2 linked regions of the Sus scrofa genome follow. The protein of the gene in region 1 binds, or shares a complex with, the protein of each later gene. Links are inferred from orthologs where the notes say so. Each region holds a gene or a part of one and is shown on either strand. Other genes may lie near its edges.

The links. Proteins that work in one complex are often made in the same cells at the same time.
Region 2: GINS3 (region 1) and MCM4 share a complex: the UniProt entries of both Homo sapiens proteins name them as parts of the CMG helicase complex. The link is inferred for Sus scrofa from reciprocal best matches to the Homo sapiens genes GINS3 and MCM4.

Annotation. Positions count from the first base shown.
Region 1 is NC_010448.4:20,161,383-20,165,498, forward strand, and holds the start of GINS3 (DNA replication complex GINS protein PSF3), read left to right. Parts: upstream 1-1,313; 5' UTR 1,314-1,452; coding exon 1,453-1,638; intron 1,639-4,116. UniProt on the Homo sapiens protein: Required for correct functioning of the GINS complex, a complex that plays an essential role in the initiation of DNA replication, and progression of DNA replication forks.
Region 2 is NC_010446.5:79,680,450-79,683,966, forward strand, and holds part of MCM4 (DNA replication licensing factor MCM4), read right to left. Parts: intron 2,569-3,517; coding exon 2,430-2,568; intron 703-2,429; coding exon 482-702; intron 24-481; coding exon 1-23. UniProt on the Homo sapiens protein: Acts as a component of the MCM2-7 complex (MCM complex) which is the replicative helicase essential for 'once per cell cycle' DNA replication initiation and elongation in eukaryotic cells.

The sequences.
Region 1 (4,116 bases):
AAAGGAGCATATCATGTCATGTAGGGTCACACAGGGAAGTACCTGACGGGCCTGTCAGGAGGCAGAAGGAGGGAGGGGAGGACACCCCTTTACTGAAGGACCCTGAAAACACTCCCAGAGCCTTTACTGTGGTTTCTGTGGGAAGAAATGGGTGAAGCAGAGTAGGCAGGTTTAAACAAATTTAGGATTGGATAGTTTGAATAAGGCTGGTCTCCAACTGTCCAGTTCTTGGCCCTGGGGTGATTTAGGGCGGGGAAATACTGGTTTGGTATGTGGGAGTTAGATAAAGGCTTGGGATATGGGCTCTGGATCAGTTAGTTTGTACACGGAAGGCATGTTCACAGGCAAGTTGTTTGCGACTCTAGGAATTAGCTCACCCTGGGAGGAACAGTTCCTACCCAAGCTGCAAGGCCCCAAGATATCAAAGCCTCATAAAGGACAGAAAATAAAAAACATGATGAATACACATTCCTTTTCCATGAACCCTCTGCTCATGGCTCTATAGCCCAGAATGTCCTTCTTTATGAAGTAAGTTTTGTAGTGCCTCTCTCAACACTGCCACCATCCATAGCCCTGACTAACGCCCCCAAGTCTGGTACCACATCCCCTTCCCACCAGACCAGTGATGGCACATGACTGGCACCCAATCTATGGAATGTCTTGCCACCTATGACCATTGTGGCCTGCCTCAAAAAGAGATGAACTGCCCATTAGATTTCTTCTTTTAAGGATTTAAAATAAAAGCCACAAATGGAGTTAGCCGTTGATGGTAAGGTGAACTGGGAGGTCCTGACATAGACTCAGGACCTCTGCAAGCCACGTGCGCTCCTCCACCACCACCCCCCCATCTACCCTACTATACCTCCTCCGAAAAGTCTGTAATAACTGTCAGGGGCTAGTGTTAGAGTGTTGCTTTGTTTTTAATGTTTCAAGATTAACAGAGATTCTCAGAGACTGACAAACTGTAATAATTAAGCCAGACTGGATCAGGCCTGAGAGGAAGGGCGCAATGGTCTTTTTTAAGCCCCTAAATGTACTGCAAAGTGTTTTTAATTTCATGTAAACATTTAAAAGACCACATAACTCAGTCTAGTGCAGACGCTTCCTGCAGCTTCAACGGCATTTCCTGCTTCTCTTTGAAGTTCTCACCCTGGGCTACACTGCGGGAAGAAAACTTAGTGCGGATCCACCTACTGCGCCCTTACCAAGGAGTTGCGCAAAACCAAATCCGCAGATTTTGTCGATTGCTTCTTCCTGGGAAGACCCGCCTAGATCGACTGCTTCTGTCTGGCCCAACCCCGGGCGCGGGAAAAGAGTTTGAATCCTACCAGGTGGCCGCAAGGACCTCCTCAACCTTCAAAATCCTGACCAGCCTCAGCCACCGCCACCTCCTCCTCCTTCTACATCCCTGACTCCCCGAGGTCTCCAGAACAACGAGAGTGGACCGCCGCCATGTCCGAGGCTTATTTCCGGGTGGAGTCGGGTGCGCTGGGGCCTGAGGAGAACTTTCTTTCCCTGGACGATATCCTGATGTCCCACGAAAAGCTCCCGGTGCGCACTGAGATCCCCATGCCGCGCCTCGGCACTTTCTTCCTGGACCGGAGCGGAGGGGCCGAGACAGACAACACAATCCCTCAGGTAAGCCTTTGGCGCGGATCCCCTAACCAAAAGACTACCACTCCCAGTGGGCCTTACGGCCCTGGGGCCGCATGACCGGGCGCGCTGCCTCCTGGGATCTGTAGTTTTAAGGAGGGGCCCGGAAGTGCGCTAAAGGAGTTCTGTCCGCCGATTCCCCGCGCTCTAGAGTCCTTCTCCCCACCTACTCTCCGCGACCCTTACGGAAACGAAATTTACACTGAGTCGTTGAGCTCCCTCCCACACTCAGTTTTGAAACCAACCAAATTTAGCAGTGTCTTCTCTCCCCGGCATGTGTTCTTGCTTTAGAATTGGCACCGACTGAATACTTGAGGACCAATGGTTCTGACCACTTTTGCCTTAAAACAAAAGTTTTTGCTTCTGTAGGAGCAAATAATATCGGGGAGCCCCAAGTTGCTAATTTCATTCCTGCATAACGATGACAGTATCACCTACCATTTACTGAGTTTTATTGCCAGCATGGATAGGGCAGGGGGAGTATAGTTTTCCGTGTATTAGCCTTTAATTTTTCAACAACCCTACTGTTAAGTGTTGTTACATGGGAGGAAATTGAAGCTCAGAAAGGTTGGGTAACTTGGCCAGGGACTCATTATAAGCGGTGAGCTTGGATTCGAACCTAAGACTGCATGACTTCAAATACGAGTTTGTCCCAGGAACTTGGCTTGTAATGGTTATTTTTGATTTCCTATTTAACCTGAGTTTTGTTTAGAAGGGTGTTTTTGTTTGGTCTGTTTTAATTTTTTTCAAAGTAGGACATATGCAAAGTTTAAAAAGTCAATAGTACCAAAAGATTTATAACAAAACATAGCAGGCCTTGCCTTGCTATGTCCCTTCCCATCTCCACAGTCTATGTTTTTCAGAGTTTCTTCAAGATTCACCTCCGTGTTTCTAAATAATGTTTTAAAGTTTATCTTCTTTGTAAAAAAGAATTTAGACATTCTTTATTGACGGAAAACTCAATATGATAGTGAAGGGTTTAATTCTCTTGCGCGCTGGTAGACAGAGATGTGCCCTACGTACTTTATTCGTATTTCCTTCTTTTTTACCTAACGCCCTATTTCTGTTTCAGGATCCCATCCAGGACAGCACATTGCATTTAGTAGCCATGGGTCCTTAGGCTCCTCATGGCTTTGATAGTTTATCAGACCTTCCTTGGTTTTAATGATCAGGAATTTTGTGAAGTGCTGACCCACTTTTTGGTAGAGTATGTTCCTCATTTGGGATTTGTCTGATGGTTTTCTCATAATTAGACAGTGTTTTGAGGAGGAAGACCATAGAGCATAGAGGTCAAGTGCCCTTTTACCAGGGTCTATACACCATCAACGTGACTTATCATGGTGATAGGAACCTTGATCACTTAGCTGAGGTGGGTTTGTCAGGATTCTTCACTGTAAATTACTCTTTTCACCCTTTCCACACTGTTCTCTCTGGAAGGAAGTTGTTATGTGCAGCTATGCTTAAGGAGTGGGGAATTATGCTCCATTCCTTGAGGGCAGAGTGTCTGCATAAATTATTTAGGATTCTTCTGCATGGGAGATTTGAGTAAAACGTCACATATTTAATTTCATTCTTAGATATAGGACTATTCAGATTTTCTATTCTTGTGTTACTTTTGATATGTTGGTTTTCCTCCTGCTAGGAATTTGAATATTTAAATGTTTAAATATAGTGGTATAATGTTGCTCAGAACATCCTTTTACTCTTTTTTTTTTTTTTTAATTATAGCCTTTTGCTATTCCTTTTTTTTTTTTTTTTTTGTCTTTTTGTCTTTTTTGCCTTTTCTAGGGCTGCTTCCCACGGCATATGGAGGTTCCCAGGTTAGGGGTCTAATCGGAGCTGTAGCCACCGGCCTACGCCAGAGCCACAGCAACGCCAGATCCGAGCCGCATCTGCAACCTACACCACAGCTCACGGCAACGCTGGATCCTTACCCCAATGAGCAAGGCCAGGGATGGAACCTGCAACCTCATGGTTCCTAGTCGGATTCATTTCCGGGCTCCACGATGGGAACTCTTGCATTAGGCTTTTAAAAGAACTAAGTAATGGCTCTGTCAACTTTCTCATTTGTACTTTTAGGTCATTAAGTTCTTATCTTAATTAAAGTACTTTCCTTCTACTTTCTTTGGACTTAATTTTCTTTGTTCTCCTAACATTTTGAGATGGGTACATAGGTCATTGATTTTTCAACTTTATGCTGGGCATTTCTCCTAAGCACAGCTTTAATACATTTCACAAGTTTTAATCTGATTTTCATTTAATCTGATTTTTCATTGTGATTTCTTCTTTGACCCATGGATTATTTAGAAGACTGGTGCTTAGGTCCAAACATTTGGGGATTTTGCTCTGTACATTTTTGGTTTTGATTTCTGGCTTAATTCCCAGTGGTCGAAGAATGTAGTCTGAATCATTTCAGTTTTTCAAAAGTTAACACTTGCTTTAAGCCCCAGCATGAGATCAGTT
Region 2 (3,517 bases), on another chromosome or scaffold:
TCAGGAGACTCCTGGAGCTTGATCTGAAAGAGCCGTGCAGACCCTCAAGACAGGCCGCGCCCTCCCCGCTCACAGCTATTTCCACCTCCTTGGGAAGATTTTCACATTAAACCTGCTATGGAATAAAGTGTGCACGAGAAGCCGGCACACACTCTCAGCCCAGTGGCTGCCGGGTCACCCACCTGCCAGCTGACAGACTTAGCCTCCACGTTTGGGGACCTTCAGGTTTTACATGTGCCTGCCTGATGGGCTAGAGACTCTCCAACCTTAGTATTTCCCACAGAAGCATCTCATTAAATTTGACTTAATCACAAGTGATGCTAAACTGAGGATGCTCCCTTACAGAACCCCTGCCCCTGGCAAGACCCCAGAGGAGCACCCAGGGCCCGGCCCAGGCCTCTAATGAGCCCGCCTGCCCCAGAGCAAATGAAGTGCGGTTTCAGGGGTCCGGAGTGGAGAGGGCATGTGGAGGGGCACGCACCATCTGCTTGTCGGAGAAGACGGAGCGGTTGTGGATGAGCGCCATGCTGTGGGTGGTGTGGCAGCGCTCGCAGGTGCCGGGCTCCGCAATGCGGCCTCGGTCTATCTCCACCCGGGCCGTGTGGGCGCACACCTGGCACTGGAAGAAGGCCTCCTGCATCTCGGGGATCAGCTGGGACGTCCTGATCACCATGCCGCTGATGGCAATGAGCTGGTCGATGTCTGCAGGGTGGGGAGAGGGCAGCTGTCCTCTCTGAGCTGGAGCAGACGTCCAGCCAGGAGGGCCTCAACTGAGGTGTCGGGATGGCCAGGGTCACAGAGCAGACGTCTCGCTGGCTACCCTGGGGTCTGGCCTCAGACACGCTTCCCGTGTCTGGCTTGCTCCCCCCAACCCCTTAGGTCCACTTACCCGTGCTGAGCTGGGCCAAGCAAAGGCTACCTGGAGATGTGGGCCCCAGGATGCAGCCGAGAGCCATGCTTGTGACCATCTCCTACAGTCACAGGGGCCATCCCCACGTCAAACACCATTGCTTGTCTGTTGTTTCTTTGCTGGGGCCCTGTCCCAGGCACCCCCATCTCTTCCCTCGTCTGCCTCCTGTCCAGCTCCACTTTTTGCCTCCATGCTTTTGCCCATGTTGTTCCCTCGCCTGGACCTCACTCTTGCCACACGCGGGGACCCTGGCTCCTAGTGAACCAGGTAGGCGGGTGGGCTGGGTGGGGTTCCCGTGTGCCCTTGGGAACAGGCTGAGCCTCCGCAGCCTCACCCATGGGGCAGGAGTCGGGCCCCCCTGCTGCTGAGGACTAGCACCCTGCAGAGAACCACCTTCCCCACAGCTGAGCTTCTCAGGCCGCCAGCTCTCACCAGGGCTCACGTGGCCTCTGCCATCTGGTGCCCCCCCAACCTCCTGCTCCCTCCCACCAACCCTCCTCTTCTTTTAAAATGTAGCTGTTGTGATGGTTGGATCTCTGGAAGTTTCTTGACTTCCACAACCATGGTCATTGCCAACCTCCCTGGAACTTGCCCTTTAGTAATAAAGCAGCCCAGCACCCTCATCTGGACAACTCCTACCCACCAGGGTCCCTCCACAACCTCCCAGTGTGGGGATGGTACCAGAGTCAAGTTCCCAAGGGAAAATATGACTCTTCCTTCGTAAATGGCCAAGTCCAATATTTGCTGCTGTTTATTGGTTGTTTCGCTTTTACTGAGATTTGCGCCTTTAGCACATTTACCTACAGGAGTACTTGCTAATTTCCTACAGCTTTTATACCTCACTCAACCATCACATCTGCCCTGTGTTTTCACTCCTATAGGCACCGTCCATGGTGGAGCATCCTAACTGCACTTGAACATACCCTGCATACTCAGGAACTTCTCAGGAGAAATTCTTTCTCCTCAGAAAGGATCAATGGCTCCCCACTGGCTTAGGATTAAAAGCCTAAGCTCCTCAGGCCCCACCCAGACATCCCTGCTGCAGCCATCACGTCCTGTCTGAAGTCTTGCTTCACTTCTGCTCACATCCCTTCTTTCTGTCTAGAGTGAAGCCCTTAGGTCTGCTTCCCAATCCTTCCCACTGGACCGGCACTGCCTCTACTTGGGCTGAGACTTACCCACCACATGCTTCTGCCTCTTCCACCATTTCTTCTGTAAGCTTCAGGGCAGGGACTGCATTTTATATTTGTTTTCAACACTGACCCTGAATTTAGAGAGCTACCGAGTTATGGTATCTTTTTTATGGTTTTACTTTAGGTAACAATAGGTATGGTGGATCTAAAAGCTTATGGGTGACTGGATCTGTCACTAGGTCTTGTCAATTTATAGCCCACAACCAATGCTTTTAAAGTTCCTTGATGAGGTTTTTGTTTACTTTCACATAAGGTATTTTCCTGCTATTAAAAGTGTTACCCTCTATATGTCATCTCTATCTCAGTAAAAGTGGAAGAAAAATCACCTTCTGGATTCAGGTTCCTCATATTCTTAGTCTTCAATGCATTGAATGGTCTTACTTGAATCTGATGTTCTAAGATCGAGTCAGGATAACGGTCAAAGAAGATCTCATTGACAGCCATGTCGAAAGTTGGGATAACTTCCTTTAAAAACAAACATAATGCAGGCTGTGTTTGTGTTCTTATTTCAATATATTCTTATTTTTTTATTTTTTGTCTTTTTAGGGCTGCACTTGTAGAATATGGAAGTTCCCAGGCCAGGGGTCAAATTGCAGCTGTTGCTGCCAGCCTGCGCCAGAGCCACAGCAATGCAGGATCCAAGCCACGTCTGCGACCCACACCACAGCTCACAGCAATGCCAGATCCTTAACCCACTGAGCGAGGCCAGGGATCAAACCTGCAACCTCATGGTTCCTAGTCAGATTCGTTTCTGCTGTCCATGATGGGAACTCCCAATATAGTCTTAAATATAATAAAGCAACTCATGTTAGCAAAGCATCAAAGCAAGAAACAAAAAAACCCCACAAAAACTCACAACCTGCATAATCCAAAAACGTTACCTTGTAAAATCACAGACATGCTGTTTACAAACCCTTGGGCACCCTGAACTCTCTCACCTCTGCATATTCCCACTTGAGTTAAATAATACCAGACAGACAATAGTGCCTTCATGGAGTTCCCTTGTGGTGAGGGTTCGATCCCTGGCCTGGGAACTTCTGCATGCCATACCCAAAAAAGTTGCCTTTATGATACTGTAGTTACATGAGCTTAGTAATAGAACCTCATCCTCTCATGACTTACTTTTTCTCTATAACAAAATGATATCAAAATATTCATTCAAATTTTTTAATACCTATTCCCCATTTTGCAGATAAGGAAACAGCCTCTTGGAAGCTGAGGAACTGGACCAAAGTCTCAGTTACTTAGCAGCAAAATCAGGATTTAAAACCAAGTCTGGGAGCCTTTTCTCGAGGTTACCTGAGCTGCTACCTCCCAGGCTTAAGTCCTAATTTCACCCCAAATAAAACTTAGCTCTCAACTTAAAAATAAAGCAAAACCAAGTGTACCTGCCTTCAAAGCCTCAAGCTAGATT